5 linked regions of the Mus musculus genome follow. The protein of the gene in region 3 interacts with the protein of the main gene of each other region in a pairwise test. Links are inferred from orthologs where the notes say so. Each region holds a gene or a part of one and is shown on either strand. Other genes may lie near its edges.

Region 1 (4,237 bases), on a different chromosome or scaffold from region 3:
AGACCTGCAGGTTGGAGCAAGTTGCCCTGTTTTTAGAGGAGGGATTAACCAAACCAATTTTATCTAAGTCAATTTGCGCTGTTCAGATGATATGTTTGTGAAGCAACCAAGCCACTCATTTGCAGCAAGTGCCTCTCAGAAGTGGTCTTGCAAGGTACAACATGCTAAGCAGGAATCCCAGTAGTCATGAAAGTAAATAGGAGAGACAGCTCTTCATGTGCCATAACCCTCTCTCCCTACTCCACACATCACCCACCCTGACTGCATCCTAGCCATGGAGCCATGGAACTGTAAGTAGAGTTTAGCATAGGGCAAATATGAGCCCAAAATACTGGGTCAAGGGCAGGTCCTCACTCAACACAGACAGCAGAGGCTTCTGTACATTAAAGGTGCTTTGAAAAATATTGACTCACTGCTGCTAGGTGCTAATTTTGCTTATATAGCCAGACCTAAATGTATCTATATTACTTTTATTGGTCATTAACTAACTCCCCCCATGTAGACTAAAAAAATGGGTGAGGTTGAATATTCAAATGAGTCTGACTCACATTGTTAGGGTAAAGTGTAATCAATATGATTTATGACTCGACTTAAAATCATCACCATTACTTTCTATGCCTAATTGTATATATGTTTCCATTCAGTTGCATATACATTCATGAAACAAATTGACTTAAGATCTAAATTACAATGATAATTTGAATCTCAAGGGAACTAATAATGGCAAATTAGGGTTCCTGTAAATTAGTGTTCCCATTTATACCCAGTCAATCCAGTAACCCAATAAAGGATAAATGAAGTGCTTTCATTGAAGAGTATAATGCTGAGGTTTATAGAATCCTTTTATCTTCAAAGGACCAAGCCAATACTCACAATACCCAGTACACAATATTATGCCTTTTATGCAAGTGAAGCAACTGTGAAAGAGAGGTCATACAAATGTCTAAAGGCCTTAAAGCCAATGCAACGTCACATCTGGAATGAACTCTCTGATCTTCTTGGCTTCCAGGCTTGTGTTTCAACCACATGAAACGAGTTTTGTAAGGAACAATCACGAGAAATCTAATTCATATTATGAGTCTGTGTTAAGCTAATTGATTGAGCAGGAATATATAAAAATAGCAAAGATTGATTCTCCCTTGGGGCAGTGATGAGCAGAGAGGAGGAGGTTAAAAAAAGGTGGGGATGCTGGGATAGGAATCTAGGGTACAGCAAAAGCTCCCCAAGCAGAAGTGAGCAAGAATGTAAACTCTCCATTTAGCAACTCCATCTTCTATTGGAATAGTGTCAGAGATCTGATTCGATTTCAGAGAGGAAATGGAATGGGATTAAAGTCAACTCTTGTGGTCCAATTCGAGAATCAGATTAATTAATCCCCACACAATAGTTGTGTACTATTACAGTTTCCAATGTCTTGCTTCATAAATACTCCTCCTTAGAGACAGACACACAACTAATGCCATTCAGCAGCCCCACCCTCCAAAATCTTCAAAAAAAATCAAAGTGATTGAAAAGCAAGAAGCCGCATTGCACAGGTTGACAGAGAAAAGCTGAGAGTGCAGGAACTCTGGTGGGAGATGTGGGGGCTTGAATAGAGACAGTACCTAAGGAGTGTGGAAGAGTGGGGAAAGTGAAGAGTCCAACAATCCCTGGATCCTAATTTCCTCCTCTAAATCGAAATGCCTCCTAAATAAATAAATACTATGCTGCACGTGAAGTGCGAAACAACCCAAGCCAGCTCATAACCAGTAATGTTCCAGTAATTTTTATGAGCCCGGAATGGAAAAGGCTCCCCTGTCCCTGCTTCAGTCGCAGTGTGTCCTATGGACACACTCAAGTTTTTCCCTCTCCACCCCCCCCCCCCCCACGGGGCTGCTTTCACAGCTAGGCCAGAAATAAAGAACCACCCAGACAGAGACCTGAAGATCGTTTCCCCAGCAGGGAGGAAAAGGGGAGGGAGAATTAAGTTTCTCCCGGGGTTCCCGCTCGCAGGGTGTCCACAGAATCTCAGGCTGCTGCGCCAGCACCACTGAGCCAACCGCCGACCTCGGGGCGCCGCCCGGGCCGAGGACGCCGTGGATTTCGGGAGCGTGGGAAGGCGGCTGCGCCCTTTCCCAGACTTGCGCCTAGGCGCCACGAGAGCTGAGCCGCTCCACTGCTTTCTCCCTGCTCGGCCTGGCCAAGCGGGAGGCCTCGGGCCGGTCCCCAGCCTGGGATCTAGGAGTGCAAACTCCTTCCCAGGAGGGCAGCGGCAGGAGCTCGGGTCACAACAGTGTGACAGACAACCGGGGCCCTGCCATTGCCGCCAGGACCCCGTCTCCCCCCTCTTGCCGCCCCCCCCCCCAAGCCCAAGTGTCCTCGGCCAGTTCCAGCCCCGGCGGCACCTGAAGAGCAGCAGGAGCCAGCCAGGGCCAAGCCCGGCGCGGGCGGCGACACTAGCCACCCCACCACCACCACCATCCCCCCGGGCCTCGGCGAGGGGACGCGTTTTACCCATATTGTTCCCGGGTGCCAGCCATCTCCTACGCGCGCCGGGGAGCGCCGGGCGCTCGCCGGCCTCCGCAGCAAGCTGGCTCGGGCTCCCGTGCAAGCTCCCGGGCCGCTGTCGCTGCTGCCGCCGCCGCCGCCGCCACCACCACTCTAGGCCGCCGCCCGCCTTCGCCGCTGCGGCCGCCGCCGCCGCCGCGCAACAGCCGGGATCCGCCAGCCCGCGCGCCCCACGGGGGACAGCACGGAGACCGCGACGTTCCCGCGTCTAGGTCTCCCGGGCTAAACTTAAAGAGTTTTCGCCTCTCGGTCCAGAGGCAGCACCATGACACCACCGCAGCACCACACTGTCATTTCCGCCGCAGCAGAGGGAAAAAAAAGGCAATCCCTTCGAAAGGAGGGTGGAGTGGGGGCAAGCAGAGCCGAGGCTGACACCCTACGGGAGCACGGGGAGGGGCCGGGCAGAAGGGGCGCTGGGCCACCTTCCTAGGCTCACCTTCCGCCGCCCCCGCCACTCCCAACTCCCCGTGCCCCTCCTCTGGAGGCGCGCTTACATGTTTTCTCCCCTGGCAGGAGTGACCAGAGAAACCCGAGCAAGCAAAGGCAGTGGGTGGGTGGGGTTCAGATTACTACTGTACCTACCAGCTGATTCCAGCAGCCTTTTCTCCAGCACCCTGTCATCTTGATGGAAGACACAGGGAGAAGGGGCCTGAGCAGGCGCGCACGAGCGTGTGTGTGTGTGTGTGTGTGTGTGTGTGTGTGTGTGTGTGTGTGTTTGCGCGTCCACGACCGGGTGGTGTGTGTGAAGCGCAGAAGGAAGACTGTGGCCAAACTCTTCACCCACCTACCTCCCTTCTACATCCACAAACCCCCAGATGAGAGCAAGGAGAAGGCTGTTGCACTCGCCAATGAAAAGAGTGTGCCTGGATCCTCCTCACAGGTCCTACTGGTGAAGCTGTTGTATGCAAAGTTAACTAGAGAGTAAAACAAAAATAGTGGAGGAGACAGAGAAGGGCAGACAATTGAAGGAAACCCAACCCCTTTTTCTTTTGACAAAGGGAGAATGGCAATGTTCTATTGGACTTGGGCACAAGTTGTTCAGGTGGATTAAAGCCACTAAAAGTGTATGGGGTAAGGTTTCTTTTGCACCTTCAGATCCTTGACCAATACAAAAGGGTCACTGCCAAGAGGACAATGAGGCAGATGCTAGCCATCCAGAATACAATGTCCCTAATAAGATCCATTTGGAAGCCAGGAGCCTCCCATTGGTCTGGATACAGCCTGTCTTTTAACCTATCACTGGCTCAAAGACTACCACCTCCCCCCAACACACACACACACACACACACACACACACACACACACACACTTAAAAGGTAGATGAGAGAAGGAAGCCACCTCAGAGGATATTCTTTCTAGCTCCACTCAAAATGAGGAAGGAATAAAGCAATCCGAAACAGCCCCTCTCACATGGGCCTCCCATTACTGTGCTTGGGAACAAATCCAGAAAAAAAAATGAAGGTAGATGGGTGTGTCTTATCAGGGAACCAATAGCAGTCAGCCAACAGCACTGTTAAACAAACCTGCTAGAGAACACTGGAGTGGAAATGAAGGGAAAAACCCAACCACATTACCTAAAAGGAAGTACAGCACCAAGAGATGTAAAAGTTAATGTGTCATATCCAAAGCACAGACAACAAGAGCAAAACCAAACAAATGAGACTACATAGCACCAACACCTACACAGCAG
Region 2 (4,088 bases), on a different chromosome or scaffold from region 3:
TGAAAGTTAGCCACCTGCTCAGATCCCAGCAGACACCAGAGGGCTTGAGAAGAGAAAAAAATATATATCTGACATAAGAAATGCAAAGCTGAGAACCACAGACTCTGATTCGGACACAGCCATTTGTCCCCAGAACACGGAAACCCTTGCAGAAATTTCTAGAAAAGTGCAGCAAGGGATTTGCCACAGGGCTAGGGACCCACTGGCAGATAGGTGATCCCCTGAAGGATCCTCGGCGGGCTGCTGTGGCTGTGGACAGAGGCAGGACTCAGCCTACAGAGCTGCAGGGAGTTTGTCCATTTCATTGGAAGACAACACTAAGAGGACACTTGGATCCTAAGACTCTGTAACAATAACCTAGTTACTCCCAGAATTTATTTTTGAAAGTCAGGGTCTCACTATGTGGCCCTAGATGGCTTAGAACTCACTATATAGACCAATCTAGCCTAGAATTCACAGAGATTTGCCTGCTTGTTCTTTTCGTGGGAATTAGGATGGAGCCCAGGGCACCACAGACGCTTGACGAGGGCGTTACACACTGATTTGCAGTCCCACCCCCACCTTCGTTTTGGGGAGCTGGGCTCAAGCTGTCTTCATGCTTCAGTTGCTGAGGGTCCAGGAACTTTTTCTTTTCGAAGAAGCCACATGAAGACTCAGGGCCACCCTTGGTAGGAGGCAGGAAAGCGAAGGGTCGTTGTCCACCCATTTTCCGTGTTTCTCCCTATCTCTGGGTCACCAGATCACACTCCAGGACTTCTGCCTCTGTCTTCACACCCTGGCCCGCTACCACCCATCTAACACCCACACTTTTGTCTTCTCAGCCTTCAGCCCATCAGTCCAATGCTCTGCCCCAAGGCCGATCCAGACAGACCCTCCTCTTCCACCCCTCTCCCCACCCCGCTGTCTTTGTCCGCAGTCACCTTCTGTCTCTCTCCGCTGCCCTCCTGGATCCCTCCCCTCTGTCCAGTACTCTGCCTGATCCTAGGCCCCTGCCCTTAATCCCTCTGATCCCAGCCCCAGACTTTATGGGCCCCTCCCCCTCCTTCAAAAGCCACGCCCTCCCCACTTCCTTCAGTTGCCTCCCACTGGGTCCCCCCTTCAGAAGTTCCTCCTCTTGACCTCCTGGTGCCCTCCCCTTCCTCTGCCCTTTCACCCCGCCCAACTCCCCCCTCCATGTCCGCCCTCCTCTTCTTCCCTCTCGGGGTCCCCTCCCTCTTCCCCGCCCTCCGTAGCTGGCCAGCAGGGGGCGCTGGGCAGAGGCGGGGCGGCGCGGGGACTGGCCGCGATGGGACCGGAGGCGGCGCAGACAAAGGCGCGGGCGGCGCGGGGCGCGCGGAGGGCGCGGGCCGGAGGCTGCAGCGACGACGACGCGGGGTGAGCCAGACAGGGGGACCCCAGCTTCCGAGGCACAATCAGGGAGTCGGGGGCGCAGGAAACGCAGACGGTTTCCAAAGTTGCGGACTGTGAGGCGGGGCCCAGGAGCTGCGGGGTGCAGGCTGAGGGGTTGGGATCCTGGGGTGCCGGCTAGGGGGCCGGCTCAGGTGCTGGCTGGGGCGCGGGGCGCGTCTTCACCGGGTTCCTCAGCCGAGGTCCGGGTGTTGGGGACGCCGCATCGCGAGGCTCCGCCACTTAGAAGTTGCGGGTCAGCGGCTCCCGTAGTTGCCCTCACGAGCTGCCCTGGAGGGAGTGGGAACCGGTGCCAAATGGGAAGCCGGCGTGGGGCTCCTGGCAGGGTCCCCGCCGCGCGCGATCGCGGTTCTCCGCCCCGCGCCTCTGCTCCAAGGCGCGTGACTACTCAGTGAGTAACTTTTCCTGATGGTGGCAAGTCCAGGCAGGAGTGGTCCGACCGGAAGGGCCTGGGTTCGGGGACCCCTTTCCCCCAATCTCCGCCAGTTCCATTAGCGTCTCTGACTGGACAACCCCCCTACCCTCCCTCTGTATGGGAACTTAGGTTTCGCAGCTTCCCAAGACAGCTTGGAGGGGCCCTGACCTCAGACCCCGGGTCTTGACCTCCCGCACCCGCAGGACCCTCCTTCTCCTCCAATCTCCTTAGTTGAAATTTGGGGGACTTAGGAGAATGACAGGTGCAAGCGTTCATAGGAGGCTGGGGAGCTCCGTTCTCCCGGTCCTGTTCCCTGTTCACATGGTGGGGACTAGGATGAACCGCTGTGTGCAATGCGTGCTTGTGTGTGTGTGTGTGCCTGTGCGTTGAGACATGGTCCCACTCTGTAGCCCAGGTTGGCTTCAAAGTCTCCTCATTCTCCCCAGTGCTGGTGCCACCATACCAGGCTTTCATTTTTTCCTTTTAAGTAAGCTCCCTGGAGACTCAGACACAGAGTTATCTGGGCTAAGTGGTCCTTTCTCTCTCTCTCCTCTCTCTCTCTCTCTCTCTCTCTCTCTCTCTCTCTCTCTCTCTCTCTCTCTCTCTCTCTCTCTCTCTCTCTCTCTCTCTCTCTCTCCTCTCTCTCTCTCTCCCTCCCTCCCTCCCTCCCTCCCTCCCTTCCTTCCTAGAGTTATTTATTTTATTTATACAAGTACACTGTAGCTGTCTTCAGACACATCAGAACAGGGCATCCAATCCCATTACAGATGGCTATGAGCCACTATGTGGTTGCTGGGAATTGAACTCAGGACCTCTGGAAGAGCAGTCAGTGCTCTTACCCACTGAACCATCTCTTCAGCCCCGAAGTGGTCCATTTGTGGGATCAGCGAGGTCCTGATTTTCCTGTTAGGTCCCTGGAAGCACTCCACTTTTACTCCTTGAGATGGGTTTATCCCTCCATGATGACCAGGGAGGCCTTGAACTCCTGGGATGCATGATCTAACCGCCTTGGCTTTCAGATAGATAAAACCACAGGGCCTCACCACGGATCCAGCTTTGTCCCACATTTTGATGCAAGGCCCTCTGGGAGGAGAGGGGGGCTGTTGGATGGGAGGGGATGAATGAGATGTTCCACTCGGTTGATCTTGACCTCATGTTCAGTTCCTGTGGGAGGACACTTGCCCAGTGGTGGGTAACCTGGACAGTGAGTATAATCCTGCGTGCCAACAACCAGGCTATTCTCCAAGCCATATCCTACCTACCCTTGCAGTTTGGTGGCACTGTATCACCTCTCTGGTGACACTAGAGATCTAGAGATCACTCAGTCCAGTTGTGGGGGCTTCTCCCAAAAGCAGGGCCTTTTGTTTATGCCTACAGCTCAGTTGATAGAGAGCTTGCATGGGATGCAGGATGCTCTGGGCTCCATCCTCAGCACCACATGAACCAAGAATGATGGCACAAGCTGCCGTCCCAGCATTTAGGAGGTGGAGGCCAGAGGATCAAGAGTTCAAGGTTGCTGTTGGCTGCAAAGTGATTTCAAGGCCAGTCTGGGCTGGGACTGAGGAAGTGGGTGTCTGACCAGCAGCTGCTCCTTTCCTGCCTCGCTGGTTTTGTGAAGTCACCTGGAGGACCCACTTGGCCTGAGTATCCTTGGAGCCTTACTCACAATCTTCTTCTTTCCCTAGGGGACAAACAAGTGACTCCTGTCACCCCTCTGGGTGCCCCTTAGAGGCCATCCAGCCCAACCTGACCAATGTCCACAGCCAGGTGAGCACTCACCCACTCTGGTCTGGCCTTGCCCCTGGGTGGCATCAGACTCCTGCAGAGTTTCTGTCCCTGCTGTAGGGAACAGCCAATCTTCAGCACCCGGGCGCACGTATTCCAGATCGACCCCACTACAAAGCGGAACTGGATCCCCGCCGGCAAGCACGCACTTACCGTGTCCTATTTCTATGATGCAACCCGAAATGTGTACCGCATCATCAGCATCGGGGGTGCCAAGGTCTGAGCAGGGGTTTGGGGGCAGGTGTGCAGCCACCAGCCAGGCTGGGTGACTTGGGAATCAACGATCCTTTCCCAGACCTAACGTCTTCCAGAAATAACTCAGTGGTGGGGTCTCCGAGAAGGGACAAGAGTTCTACTGCAGCCCTTCACTGGGGGATTCTAGGCAGGGGCTCCACCTGTATGCCTTCCGATAGCTCCTCACTGGGGGATCCTAGGTAGGGATTAGCTACTAAGACAGATGCCTAGAGTTCCTTTTTTAATT
Region 3 (4,020 bases):
AATCCATTGTTCATTCAGCAATACAAATTATGTACCTAATATGTGCTAGGCACCGTGCTGGTGCTGCGAAAACAAAACAGCACTATCTATCAATTTAAAGTCAGAAATTTTTAAAAATAACAAGAGCCAGTGTTGGTGAATTTAAAGAACAAAGCAATCTAATTAACTGTTGAGAGCATATAAACGAGGGAGGGAGGGTGCAAACCCAGAGAGAGATGAGAAAAAGAAAAGCAAAAAGCATGATGGTTCAGAGGATTGCTATATTAGCTGCCAAGCTGTGAACCTGAGTTCAATCCCAGAATCCACGTGGCGCAAGGAGAGAACCACCAACTTCAAGTTGTCTTCAGACTCCCAAAAAAGGGTATGCAGGGACACAGACACACACACAAAACAAATGTAAAAACAAAAAATGTACATATATATACAGACATGAAAATATTTAGAATGTGATACTAATTACTGTGAACATAGACATTTAAATGATGTGTTACTCCGCCATCAAAGTTCAGATCCTTAAAGATCCTTACCTGACTCTGGGTACACGTTATTCAACAGAATTAGCAGTCTTGATTTCATTTGGGGATTAAACCAAAACATACTCTTTTAAAACTCGTAAGAAAACTCGCACCTTCCCCCTAGTGGCCTAATCTACCAGATACGGTATTTGGTTGTGGACAGCAGAAGATCAAGTGCCAGGACAGAAACCAGGTCCTACAATAGCAACTAATGATCATAAGTATCACGATCATGCGAGACCATGGAGCCTTTAAGGATGGGCTCTCCAAGTACTCAAGCATCTCAGGCCAGGAATATGAACACACACACACACACACACACACACACACACACTTGTTTTTTTTTTTTTTTTTTCTGCAGCCTCTTTCAGACACGCTGTTTCCCAAACCTCTCTGTGCACTGTGACAGATCTATGAGGGACCACCGCACCATCCCGAGCTAGGTGGCGACGTTCAACTGAGAGGACCGAGAGTTGGCGGGAATCTGCAATCCACTTGGGGATTAAAAAAAAAAAAAGCAAGGAAACTCTGGGCGTGACGTGAAGCCACGCCCCCCGCTTTCTCTGCGCATTGGCTTTCCCACCCCGGAGCTTCCTGCCAATCCCACGTTCTCAGCTTTCGCAGGCCCCGCCCACTTAAGGCTGGAGGGCGGGGCAGCGTTAGACGCCGATCCGTGGCTCTGGGATAGATTGCACTTCCTGCGTCGCCGCCGTCAAGACTCCGCAGGCTTCTTTGACGATCACCGAACCGTAGTTGGGGCCGTGTTCCTGTGTCCGCTGCTGGGTCAGGTTGTCGCTGCGCCGGAGCTATGGTGTGTTGAGCCCCGAGTCCTCGAAGGGTTTGGGGCTGAGGTACACTGACGTGGTCGGGGATCGGCCTCTGTTCCCTGGGGCGTGGGGCGGTGGGAGAGGGAGCTTACCTCACGGACAGTCTCCTACAGTGATTCAGCATCTGCGGCCTGGCCGGCGGGAAACGATCAGTAACCTGGGCGGCCTTTCGCTCAGCTTCTCCACCTTACGTGGGGTCCAGGCGCTCTCCCTCGCCCAGCCAGAGGCCCTCCCCTCTCAATTTACTTAGGTGGCCGATTTCAAGATGCCCTATGGTCCTTTGTCATCTGCATAGGAGGAAGGCTATAGGAATGGAGGGGTGCACCTGGCATCGCCTGCGCAGACCTGAGCCTGCAGTCAGGTCTTTAGACCAAATTCATCTTCCTTGTGGGTCTGTCTTAATCTGTCTCATTAGAATGCCGTCGGGAAAGACTCCATACAGTCACTTTGTTCTAAAAGGGGAAGTAATGGATTCAGGTTTACAGCACAGGGCCCTGAGCTGCTTCTGTGGAGTCTGCCATGCGAACTCTTGCCTTTTTTGCCATTATGAGTATTCTCCTAAGAGCCGATACACTTGCTTTAGTAATGACATTATGGCTGTAGTGGGTCTGCCACGGTAGCAATTTGTGCCCACCTCTTTACTGAGGATTTGTGTATATGTTAATTCATCCAGTGACAGGGTGCAGGTAGAGAGCTCAAAGTTAAACCAAACATAACTTTATTCATACTATAAAGATAAAAAAGGTATGTTGGAAGGTGTTATGGTACACGAGTTTAATCCCAGCACTTAGGAAGCAGAGAGGCAGAATTCTGTGAGTTTGAGGCAAGCCTAAGTCAAAGTTCCAGGACATCCATAGTGTAGAGACCGACACCAAAAAAAAAAAAAAAAAAAAAAAAAAGGAAGGAAGAAAAGAAGAAAAAAATATGTATAGTTGGTCATGATAGCAGACACCTGTAATCTGAGCACTTGGTAGGTTGAGACAGGACTTCAAGATCATTTTCCCAGGTATATAGGAAAAAGCCAGACTGGGCTTCATGAAACCTGTATCTCAAAGCTCTGCTGGAATATTGTGCTGAGAATTTTCAGAGAAAAGAAGAAACCTTCAAGCTCTGTTGGAATATTGTGCTGAGAATTTTCGGAGAAAAGAAGAAACCTTCAAAGATAGACATTTGAGTCAATGTACAGAAAAGGCCTTTGCCAGATTATTAGAGCCCTGTGTAGAGAACAGTATGAGCAAAGTGGAGGGAAAGTTGGTGTGTGCATTCTTTAGCACTTGACTACCCAAGGGGAGTGCTGTGGAGAATGGCAGGATATAGAGTTAGGGAGAACCTAGTCCATTCATCCCAACAGCTCCAGCATGGTTAAGGGACCTTGTTAAGGTAGAATTGCATTGCAAACTGAGTGCTGTAATAATGTCTCAAGAAAGCTGCACTAGGAGAGAGGCTGTAACAATTGAAACACATGTCTTAATGTTAAAATTTGAACTTTGTAATGTTCTCATTTAATCTTTCTTCCACTTTCAGTTTCGAAACCAGTATGACAATGATGTCACTGTTTGGAGCCCTCAGGTAAAAAATGTTTTATGCCATATCAATGAAGTGACTTTTCATGGCTGAAGTAGGTTCAGGGACCTATGAGATTGTAAACTGGGCTTGGTGGTACACATCTTAATCTTCATTGGTCTGCCGTTGGCTGAAGCCATAGGATCATGGAGTCAGTGGGCAATTTGAGCAGCTTAGTAGAACTCCTTAAAAGAAAAGGAAACAAAGCTTGTGAGATTATAGGCTGTGACCTTCAAGTTAGAATTAAAATTCGTTTATTGGTTTTAAAACGTGAAAAAAAATGTTTGTCTTTAGGGCAGGATTCATCAAATTGAATATGCAATGGAAGCTGTTAAGCAAGGTTCAGCAACAGTTGGTCTAAAATCAAAAACGCACGCAGTGCTGGTTGCACTGAAGGTGAGTGAAATATAACCCTGTCTTCTTCCTCAGGAACAGAACTATCAAATGTAGATTCCACTGATAAACAGTGAACCTCTGAACTAAAATACCATATTGTGTCTATTTAGAGAGCACAGTCAGAGCTTGCCGCTCACCAGAAGAAAATTCTCCATGTTGACAACCATATTGGTATCTCAATTGCGGGTCTAACTGCTGATGCCAGACTGTTATGGTATGTATGATGATGAAAAATGAAACATCCATTTTGATTCTTAATAGACTATTTTTCTAAAAAAAGAAATACCTAAATAAGATATAGGAAGTCATCTCCCAGAATATTGTAATTTTTAATTGTTTATTTTATTTGTGTGCATGTTTTGCCTGTCTGTATGTCTGTGCACTAGAGTGTGCCTGGTTTCCTCAGAAGCCAGAAGAAGACATTAGATTCCCCCAGTATTGGGGTAACAGAAGATTGTGAGGTTCTATGTGGATACTGGAATTGAAACTGGGTTCTCTGGAAGAACAGCTAAGCTATCTATCTCTCCAGTCCCCAGAATATTAAAATTTGTACTATTGTAAATACCTTAGTGGGTTTGAGTATGAAACTAAGTATTTCTATTTCTTAATTTTTATAGTGCTATTAAAATGATTTTGAAAGTCCCTTAAAGTGATACTTGCTGACATGTATATTGTCTCAAGCCCTTCATGCCTAAGAGCTGGGCACTCTTCTGTTGAAG
Region 4 (4,137 bases), on a different chromosome or scaffold from region 3:
CGGGCGCTGGCCGTGGTCCTGACCTCCTAGCTCAGAACCATGGTGCTGAGCGCACTAGAGGCGGGGACCTTGCCACACTGAGTAGCCATGTAAGCCCTTGTCCCTACAGACCCCAAGGGAATCCTCTAGTCTTCACTGCAGCCTTCCACTGCTCTCTTTGAGCTGCATCAAAAAAGGGTGGGGCTCTGAGCCGCAGCTGCAATCGGATGCCGCCCGGGAGGATTTAAGAACAGCACAGTGGTCCACCCCAATCGCCACTCGACGCCTCCAGCCCGGGGATCAGCTGGTCCCTGACGCGGGTTCCCCACCTCCCAGGGACAAGGAGGCTAGGGCAGCCTTTGTGGGAGCTCAAACGCCCACTGGCGAACCCGTGCCTCGCCGCACCCTGCGCGGTGAAGGGGTGGGCAGGGCGCGGTGCGCGTGCAGATGCGGGAGGCAGAGCTCTTGGTGCCGCGTGCTGGCTGGTGCTGGCTGCCACGCGGGGATGCTCGGTCCTCCGCGACAAGCCAGGGGGCAGCCCCGCGCTCCGATCCCACCCTCCACCCCCATACCAACCTGATCATAGATGTTCTGCAGGGCTTCCTTGCCCGAGGCCCGCCGGATCTCCACCTTCCGGCTCGATTCAACAGATGGCTCCCCACTGGCACGCCGGCTCTGCCGGTGCGGGTCGGGGCCCAAGTGGGCGACATCGCGCTGCTGAGCCACCACTTGCCCCGAGCCCCGGCCCACTGAAAGCGAGTCGAAGTCGATGGTCTTGTTCTCCGAGGACCCTTCCACAGGGCAGAACATGCCGCAGAATTTCTGCCGCGGCTTGGGACTGCCGGAGCCCAGGTTTTTAAAAAAGGCAGGGACCTCTTCGTCCTCTGCTGCCTTTCCAGATTGCTTTCTCTCGGCCATGGCTCAGGGGGCGCTGGGGAAGGTCCTGTCTGTTCGTCCGTCCGTCCGTGGTTTCCTAAGTCTCCCTAGCTGGGTGTGCACTAGCCTCTTGCTGCCGCCGCGGCTGCCTCTCCCTGCCTACCGCAAGGTGCACAGAAAGGATGGAGAGCTGGCGAACCGGCGACCCACCCCTCGCGGTCCCTCCTCCTGACCCCGCTTTCTCCCTCCCTGCCCACGCCCCCCGGCGCCGCCACGCCACCTCCGAGCAAAGTTGGATCTGAGCGGGCGGTCGCTGCGGCAGAGGATGCCAGTTCCCGGCAACGCGGGGCGGGGCGGAGTGGGGCGGGGCAGGAGGAACGCAGGATCAGGAGGGAGGGGACAAGGAGGGAGAGGACCCAGAAGGAGGAGACGGAGAAGGGAGGGTACGAGGGGGTGGGGGGCGCCCGGAGCCTGCGCCCCGGAAGTAAAGCGGACACTCCACCCGCTAATGGACGCGCGGCAGCCGCCCGACAGACCTCTCTCGGCGCCAGGGTGAGTGTCGGATAGCTATAGCCGGGCAAGGACCCGAAGGCTCAGACCCTAGTCCAGAGCCCCTCTCCCCGACCTGCCTCACTGCATTGCTAAGGTGGCCCTGGGGCTCCCCTGGCCTCGGGTGAGAGCTGAGGGTTGAGGGAGCCAAGGTTCAAGCCTGAAGGCTCTTGGAAACTGGGCAGGGGTGACCCTGGAAACAGCAAAGTCTACTCCGGGATAACCAAGTATCCGGCACCAATGCTTCAGTTTACCCACGACCTGGGCGCCAGGGCGCGCACTGCAAGGAGCAGAAGGAAAGGAGAATGTTCTCCCTGCTTGCAGCCCCTGTGGTTGGGAGGTGGGGCTCACAACATGGCGGGGGCGAAAAAGCAGAGGAGCATAGCAAATGCAAGCGGTGACCGGGGGAGAAAGCAGCAAGCCTGCGGTGCGGGGGGGGGGGGGGGGGGCATAGTAAAGAATGCAGACTGAGGATTGCGCTTCAGCATAGAAACTGGGGACCCGTAACATCATCTGAAAAGGCCATGCCCTGCACATCAGCCATTGCCTCAGAAAAGGCTCAGAAGAGTCCTGGATTTGATATCTCCAATCCCTCAAAACACACACACACACACACACACACACACACACACACACACACACACACCCAAAACGGAAAATGGTTGGGGACTAAGCAGACTGAAGCACACTCATCTTGCTTTCAAGTCGCCCCGCCTAGCTTCCCCGCCCCTGTTGCACGCTGCGCAGGAGGCCCGGGAGTTTGCCAGATGTTCCTTCTCTAGGGCCGCAGCGGTTTGCATGGAGGGTAGAGGTAGATTGCTGTTCAGGGGAGGGTTACATGCTGTGTGAGTTGTGGGCAGCCAAAGTGTGGGGATTTGGAGTGTGTGCGCGCGTGCACACGGTTCAGCCACGACCGCCAGGTTCGAGGCTTTTCCTTGCTTAGTCCCACCTCCTGGTCCTGGCTTGGTTGCATTTAAGCCCCTCCTGTTTTTCCAGAGTGGCTGAAAGCTGCAAAAGTGTTGCCCATCCTTTAGGGGTTCTGGAGCGAGATCTGAGCATGCTCACTAAGATGGATGGGTTTGGTCTAGGAGAGGCAGTTTACTGCAGCGTGTTCTCACAGGGCGTTGTGACCAAGAAATCAGTCCCATTGTCAGCCTTTGCTTAGGTAACGATTGCTTGCAGATATCAACGCCCCCAGTTGCCCGAGATAGCTTGATTGATGGAGTCATAATTTGTGCGCACACACACACAATCCTGTAGGAGCCGAAAGGAGGGCCTATGGACCTTAGCACCAGAAATGCTTGGAATTTTCTTATAAAGTGTCCATTGGAATTGTCAATGCCACACTAAAGCCCTGAGGTCTTTCATCCTCCCTGCCTTCCAAGTTAGGACACCAGTTTATGAGTCATTACGCCTAAAGTCATGTGTCTAGTTGTCCAGGCCTTTGCCCCAAGAGCCTGGTTCCTTCAACAGGTTATCCTATAGGCCTCTTTAGTGAGAAAAGTACAAAATCCTTGCATTCTTCCATACCCAAGCATTTCCCTGGTGGTTCTTTTGTACATCAAGGGTGTTTCATTTACAGTCTTAAAATCTTTTTTGGTTAACCTTCATTTATGTATATGGATGTTTTGCTTGAATGTTTGTACATGCACTGTGTACAGGCCTGGGGCCATTGGCGGCCAGACAAAAGTGCCAGATTCCCCTGGAATTGAAGTTACAGAGTAAGCCAACTTGTGGGTGCTAGTAACCAAACCTGTGCATTTCACCACTAAGCAATCCCTCCAGATGTGTGAGGCCTTAGTTAATTGAAGAGCAACCCTTGTAGGTATGGTTACCATTGGGTTAAAGGTCTCAAAGGCTAGCAGATTTCAGCATGACAATTTTTCTGTGAATCTGGACATTTGGTGTTTTTTGTTCATTTGTTTGTATTTGTCTTTTTTGTTTGTTCGTTCGTTTTCTGTTTGTTTCGGTTTTTCAAGAGAGGGTTTCTCCGTGTGACAGCTCTGGCTGTCCTAGAACATACTCTGTAGACCAGGCTGGCCTGGAACTCAGAGTTCTGCCTGCCTCTGCTTCCCAAGTGCTAGGATTACAGGCATGCGCCACCACTACCCAGCATGTCGCTTGTGTTTGTTTTTGCTCTTTCTGAGACAAGGTCCTGTTTGTAAGCCCAGGCTGACCTCAAACTCCCGATGTAGCCAAGGGAGTTAAACTCCTGGCTCACTTACCTTCACCACTTAAGTGCTGGGGTAATGGGTATGTGCCACGGCGCCTGGCTTATGCAGTGCTTGGGATCTAACTCAAGGCTTTGTACATAGTGACAGCACTCTGCCAACTAGGCTACAGTCCTAGCCCCTCCAGAGCTCTTCACATCTCATTCCTCGAAACAACTCCAAGCAGAGGAAGTTCACTCCCATATTTTACAAGGGAATCTCAGGCCTAGATTGGTCTGAAGTTCCGGGCTCCCATGCTGCCAAGCACAGGGTGAGACAGCATCTTGCTCTCCTGGTTCTGACACAGTGGAACAGCCTTCAACACCTTCCAGGAAGACCGGATCTGCTCCTGCTGCTGCCATAGTTAAGACCAGCATCTGTGGCATACAACCTCCTTCAGAGTGATGGGAGATGTTCAAACCAAGGAGGAAGTGGATATAGCACCCTAACACACCCTCTACAAGTCTCTGAGAGGCACAGTCAGGCACCAAATTACAACATTTCAGTTGACATAACACATGTG
Region 5 (4,245 bases), on a different chromosome or scaffold from region 3:
GGCAGGGTACCAGCGGGGCGAGGAGGAAGGGCTCACTCACTGTGTGCCTGAGAAGAAATGTGTTGAAGAAGCTGGTGCCTGTCATCTGGAGTGTGAGGCTCAAGGAAGAAGCTAACCAGAGCTTCTGTAGAGAGTTTAATGAACACTGTCAGCCGATGTGGTGGAAGATGGTCAGGTCTGCCTGTGGGATGGGGGTGGGGGTGGGATGAGTCCCTGGAGGAGTGGGAGTGGCCCGAGGAAGGAGCTGTAGCGCCAGGACCTCATTCCTTGCACCTGGGAGGCATGGGCTTCACAGAGCACCCAAATAGGAAAGTGAATGGCACAAAGGAGGCTTTACTATCTTTCTAGGTTTAAGTCAGGCTGGGGTTTGTGAGTTAGGGGAAGGGAGGGGCGAAGGCTTAAATGAAATGAGCTTAAAGTTTGATTTAGATTGGACTGGACTTTGTAATAACAGCCAGTCAGACCGCTTGTTAACACCCGAAGGTGACAGGAAAAGCGATAAAACGTGCCCTAGATTCCTCCAGAAGAAATGGGAGGCCACATAGAATAATGTAAAAAGACAGCCGTGTGAAAAGTGCTCTTTCATGATTTCCCTTCACAATATAGACCAGTTAGTACAAAAATTCAGCTGGTATAAAATGTTGCTCGGCACAGCAATGCTGGGGTGGGGGAGGGAGCCCATTTTCCCCACACTCCCGACCCCCAAGAGAAAGCGAGCAAGCACATCAGTAAGCCAGCATCTCATTGTCTTCTCTGTCAGTCTGTCCCAAATCTTGTGAGCCAGAGGCTGGAGAAGCCCCCCGGCTGTCTTCAGGCTTCCCAGGTGCGCTGCTTTCAGGCGACCTGGAAGGGCTACTGAGAAGTCCTGCGTTCATGTTTACTTCTGAGGAACGTTGTGAACTACGAAGCAGACAAGCTTGCGTTGAGACAAGAGTCTTTCAAGTGGGTAGCCGGCTATGCATTACCCCTAGATTTGGAGGCAGAGGCAAGAGGATATCTGTGAGTCTCAAGTGAGATCCTGCCTCAAACACCCCAACTCCCCCACCCCCACCCCCGCCAAACCCGCACACAATCACACACAAAACCCTTACAGAGACTTCTTTAGTCTCCTGTCCATCAGCCCCGCTACATCCCTTGCGAGTTCACCCGCTGGACCCCAATTCTTCCTGCTGCACGCAATTAAAAGAGGCTCTCTCTTCCGATTGGACCACAGCACATCCCACTCGTGGGAGTCAGGAGTCTAGGTCAGCGACCTCAGGCTGCTTCTCCTTTCTCTGGGGTCTGAGGCTGGATGCTCCGGACCACTGTGGTCCCGTGAGCTGCCGGGTCGTGTCGGGCCAGCAGAGGGCGCTCGGCTCCCCCCACGGGGCTCCGGACGAGAGGAGGCGCCGGGGCTCGCGAGCATCTCCGGGCGGCCGGGAGGGGGTGCGCGCCTCGGGCCGCTGCAGCCCGGCTTCTGTCACCGCGGACGGCACCTCACTGGAGGGTGGGCGGGAGCGGCGTCTTTGTCCGGCGAGGCGTCCTCAGCCCGGGCCATCCCTGTGATCAGAGCCCGGCGGCTTGGGCGGTGCCCAGTGGTGAAGTGCGCGGGCGGAGGGCTGGCTGCGGCCACGGCCCCAGGTACCCCGGTGCCCTAAGCTCGCCACCTGCGCCACCTCAGCCCGCGCTCTGTCAAGTTGCAGAAGACCCGGGTGGGTCAGGAGTCTGGACGCGTGGGCGCGTTGCAAACTCCAGCTGCGAAGGAGCTGCGTGCGGAGGTAGCCCGGCCCGGGATGCTCCCGGAGGCTGCTCTGGTCTCTCTGCACATCCTTCTTGGCTCCTCCAGACCCAGGTGAGCGACTGCTGTCCGCGCGTCCCGATCCGGCTGGAGACAGGTGCAGAGCGGGGCGGAGGCGGTGCCTTTTGCTGGCTTCTCTGGCATCAGAGAGCCCGCTCCCCGCTGCCCACATCTTCTGCTCCGCCGGAGAGAGGCTGCAACCCACTCGCACCTTCCGGGGATGTCAGGTTGAGCACGGTGTTTCAGAGGCGACAGCGGGTTAGCCTAAGCGAGCTCCCACCCCTCTCCACCCCCAGCTCGGGATAATTCGGTCCGTGTCTTCGTCTTAATTTAGCACCGATGTGTTATTTCCTTGGAGCCCTAGAATGGTAAGGCTTGCTCCATCCATTTTTCAACCCCCTTCATTCTGAGTCTGTGCAGGGAAAGGCTTGCAAGTGATGTTACTACCGTTCTATTTTAAATACAAACACCCAGAGAAGTACGCTTGGCGGCGTGCCAGAGGCGCCTGCACTCTTTTGTTATGTAAGTGCTTCACAGGAATATTTGCTGGTTGGTAAAGTTAGGAGCGGTTACCAGAGAACGTAAGAGCGCAGGAAGTCAGAGCCATAATTTCTGTCTTAGCTCAAAACTTTCCTTCAGGATAAGCATGAGATGGTTTTGGTATCATTTAAAGGCGACAGGAGGTCCTTTCAAAAGAAAAATTCATACCGTAGACTCTCAAGCGTTAAGACACAAAACAGGCTTTTTTTTTTTTTTTAAGTCTGTTATGAAAACCAGTGGGACGTCTCTGACAATAAATAGGTGGGAAGTGACTTAAAGAAATAGATCCCTGTCACATAGCCGTTTTGGCTTTTAAGTTGTTAGGTAGTTGTATTTTGCTGTCACGTGGACATAGCTAATCGTGTGTTGACAGTTATTAAAGATCTCTGCTCACACGTACCGTAATTTTTCAGGTACAAAGATGAGAGTGGAAAACATCAGATACGCATCTTGTTCTTACTGGTTTCTGGTGATGGCATTTGTTATGTGTGTGGCTCATGTGGAGTCAGGGTTGTGACTGTTGGTGGGCATCGTTTCGTGCTTCGTTTAGTCTCCAGCAGCATAAGGTGGGGCTCGGTGGGTTCGAGGTACCCCAGCCAGGCGTGTGACATATAGGGAGAGAAACTTGTGTTTGACTGGAGAGAAGCTAAAGATTTTAGCCCGGGTCTTTTTCATCTAAGTGATTTTCCTGCTTGTTTTCCTTGCAAAGAAAAGCTGTGTGTACCGGGGGTCCTTAGTACCACAGAGGGTACCCATGGGAGTCTTAGTTGGGGTATAGTGCATTGTGCAGAGGAAACCCTGAAAGTTCAGTAGTTTTGGGGAGAGGGAGTGCCTTCTTTTTGTTTGCATGATTTTTTTTTTAAAAAATTGTTTCACCAAGGATTATTTTTCTCACTGAATGGATGTTTTCATATACTATATAGGAGTGCAATCAGTCAATCAGGTGCACAAAAGCCTTTTTGGTAATTTTAAGGACAGAGGGAAAGCTGGCATCTTTTATAAGTCCACATTTCCACAGCTTGGGGCGGGCTTACAGAGGCTTTATGGGAGCTTATGTAAGAGCCACGACGGTGCTTTTGGTACTCGGTTAAACTCCCTGCTTTGGCTATTACATAATTGACATGGAACTAGGCTGTCAGAGCTGAAATCGTGAGGGAGAATGTATAAAAACCTAGGCTCATGTGGGATGCACACAACACACACACACACACACACACAGACACACACACACACAGACACACACACACACAGACACACACACACACAGACACACACACACACAGACACACACAAACACACACACACACACAGACACACACACACAGACACACACACACACACACACAGACACACACACACACACACAGACACACACAAACACACACACACACACAGACACACACACACACAGACACACACACACAGACACACACACACACACACAAACACACACACACACAGACACACACACACAGACACACACACAGACACACACACACAGACACACAGACACACAGACACACACACACACACACACACACACACAGACACACACACACACACACAAACACACACACACACACAGACACACACACACAGACACACACACAGACACACACACACAGACACACAGACACACACACACACACACACACACACACACACACACACACACACGGCTTTATAATGAATAGCTGCTGCCAAATTAGAGGGAGCAGCAGGGATGGTCGTTTGTGAACGGGAGATAAGAACTGTGTCAGGAGGATGGCTGGAATAGAAAACTGTTAGGTTTAACAATTTTCTAGAGACCTGAATGCTGGCTGAAACTACTGCAGCCCTTTCCATGCTGGCTATACAAAGAGGCTGGGAATCTTGGCCTTCTGGTCCCTCACCTGGACTTACTTTGGGAGGCCCTGGGAGGAGCACTG

What was found.
Region 1: the proteins of Psma1 (region 3) and Mid2 interact in binary tests that used the Homo sapiens proteins (3 or more experiments, as listed by UniProt). The two-hybrid records come from large-scale screens. The link is inferred for Mus musculus from reciprocal best matches to the Homo sapiens genes PSMA1 and MID2.
Region 2: the proteins of Psma1 (region 3) and Homer3 interact in binary tests that used the Homo sapiens proteins (3 or more experiments, as listed by UniProt). The two-hybrid records come from large-scale screens. The link is inferred for Mus musculus from reciprocal best matches to the Homo sapiens genes PSMA1 and HOMER3.
Region 4: the proteins of Psma1 (region 3) and Pnma2 interact in binary tests that used the Homo sapiens proteins (3 or more experiments, as listed by UniProt). The two-hybrid records come from large-scale screens. The link is inferred for Mus musculus from reciprocal best matches to the Homo sapiens genes PSMA1 and PNMA2.
Region 5: the proteins of Psma1 (region 3) and Mtus2 interact in binary tests that used the Homo sapiens proteins (3 or more experiments, as listed by UniProt). The two-hybrid records come from large-scale screens. The link is inferred for Mus musculus from reciprocal best matches to the Homo sapiens genes PSMA1 and MTUS2.

Annotation. Positions count from the first base shown.
Region 1 is NC_000086.7:140,663,535-140,667,771, reverse strand, and holds the start of Mid2 (probable E3 ubiquitin-protein ligase MID2), read right to left. Parts: upstream 2,817-4,237; 5' UTR 2,498-2,816; coding exon 2,494-2,497; intron 1-2,493. UniProt on the Homo sapiens protein: E3 ubiquitin ligase that plays a role in microtubule stabilization. Mediates the 'Lys-48'-linked polyubiquitination of LRRK2 to drive its localization to microtubules and its proteasomal degradation in neurons.
Region 2 is NC_000074.6:70,281,727-70,285,814, forward strand, and holds the start of Homer3 (homer protein homolog 3), read left to right. Parts: upstream 1-1,272; 5' UTR 1,273-1,285; coding exon of another isoform or gene 1,286-1,374; exon of another isoform or gene 1,375-1,798; intron 1,799-3,507; coding exon of another isoform or gene 3,508-3,575; coding exon 3,576-3,589; intron 3,590-3,667; coding exon 3,668-3,824; intron 3,825-4,088. UniProt on the Homo sapiens protein: Postsynaptic density scaffolding protein. Binds and cross-links cytoplasmic regions of GRM1, GRM5, ITPR1, DNM3, RYR1, RYR2, SHANK1 and SHANK3.
Region 3 is NC_000073.6:114,273,307-114,277,326, reverse strand, and holds the start of Psma1 (proteasome subunit alpha type-1), read left to right. Parts: upstream 1-1,210; 5' UTR 1,211-1,323; coding exon 1,324-1,326; intron 1,327-2,866; coding exon 2,867-2,911; intron 2,912-3,199; coding exon 3,200-3,301; intron 3,302-3,411; coding exon 3,412-3,515; intron 3,516-4,020. UniProt on the Homo sapiens protein: Component of the 20S core proteasome complex involved in the proteolytic degradation of most intracellular proteins. This complex plays numerous essential roles within the cell by associating with different regulatory particles.
Region 4 is NC_000080.6:66,909,887-66,914,023, forward strand, and holds the start of Pnma2 (paraneoplastic antigen Ma2 homolog), read left to right. Parts: upstream 1-1,321; 5' UTR 1,322-1,407; intron 1,408-4,137. Other genes in the region: Dpysl2 (dihydropyrimidinase-related protein 2), read right to left, coding at 556-897.
Region 5 is NC_000071.6:147,955,891-147,960,135, forward strand, and holds the start of Mtus2 (microtubule-associated tumor suppressor candidate 2 homolog), read left to right. Parts: upstream 1-1,429; 5' UTR 1,430-1,831; exon of another isoform or gene 1,832-2,145; intron 2,146-4,245. UniProt on the Homo sapiens protein: Binds microtubules. Together with MAPRE1 may target the microtubule depolymerase KIF2C to the plus-end of microtubules. May regulate the dynamics of microtubules at their growing distal tip.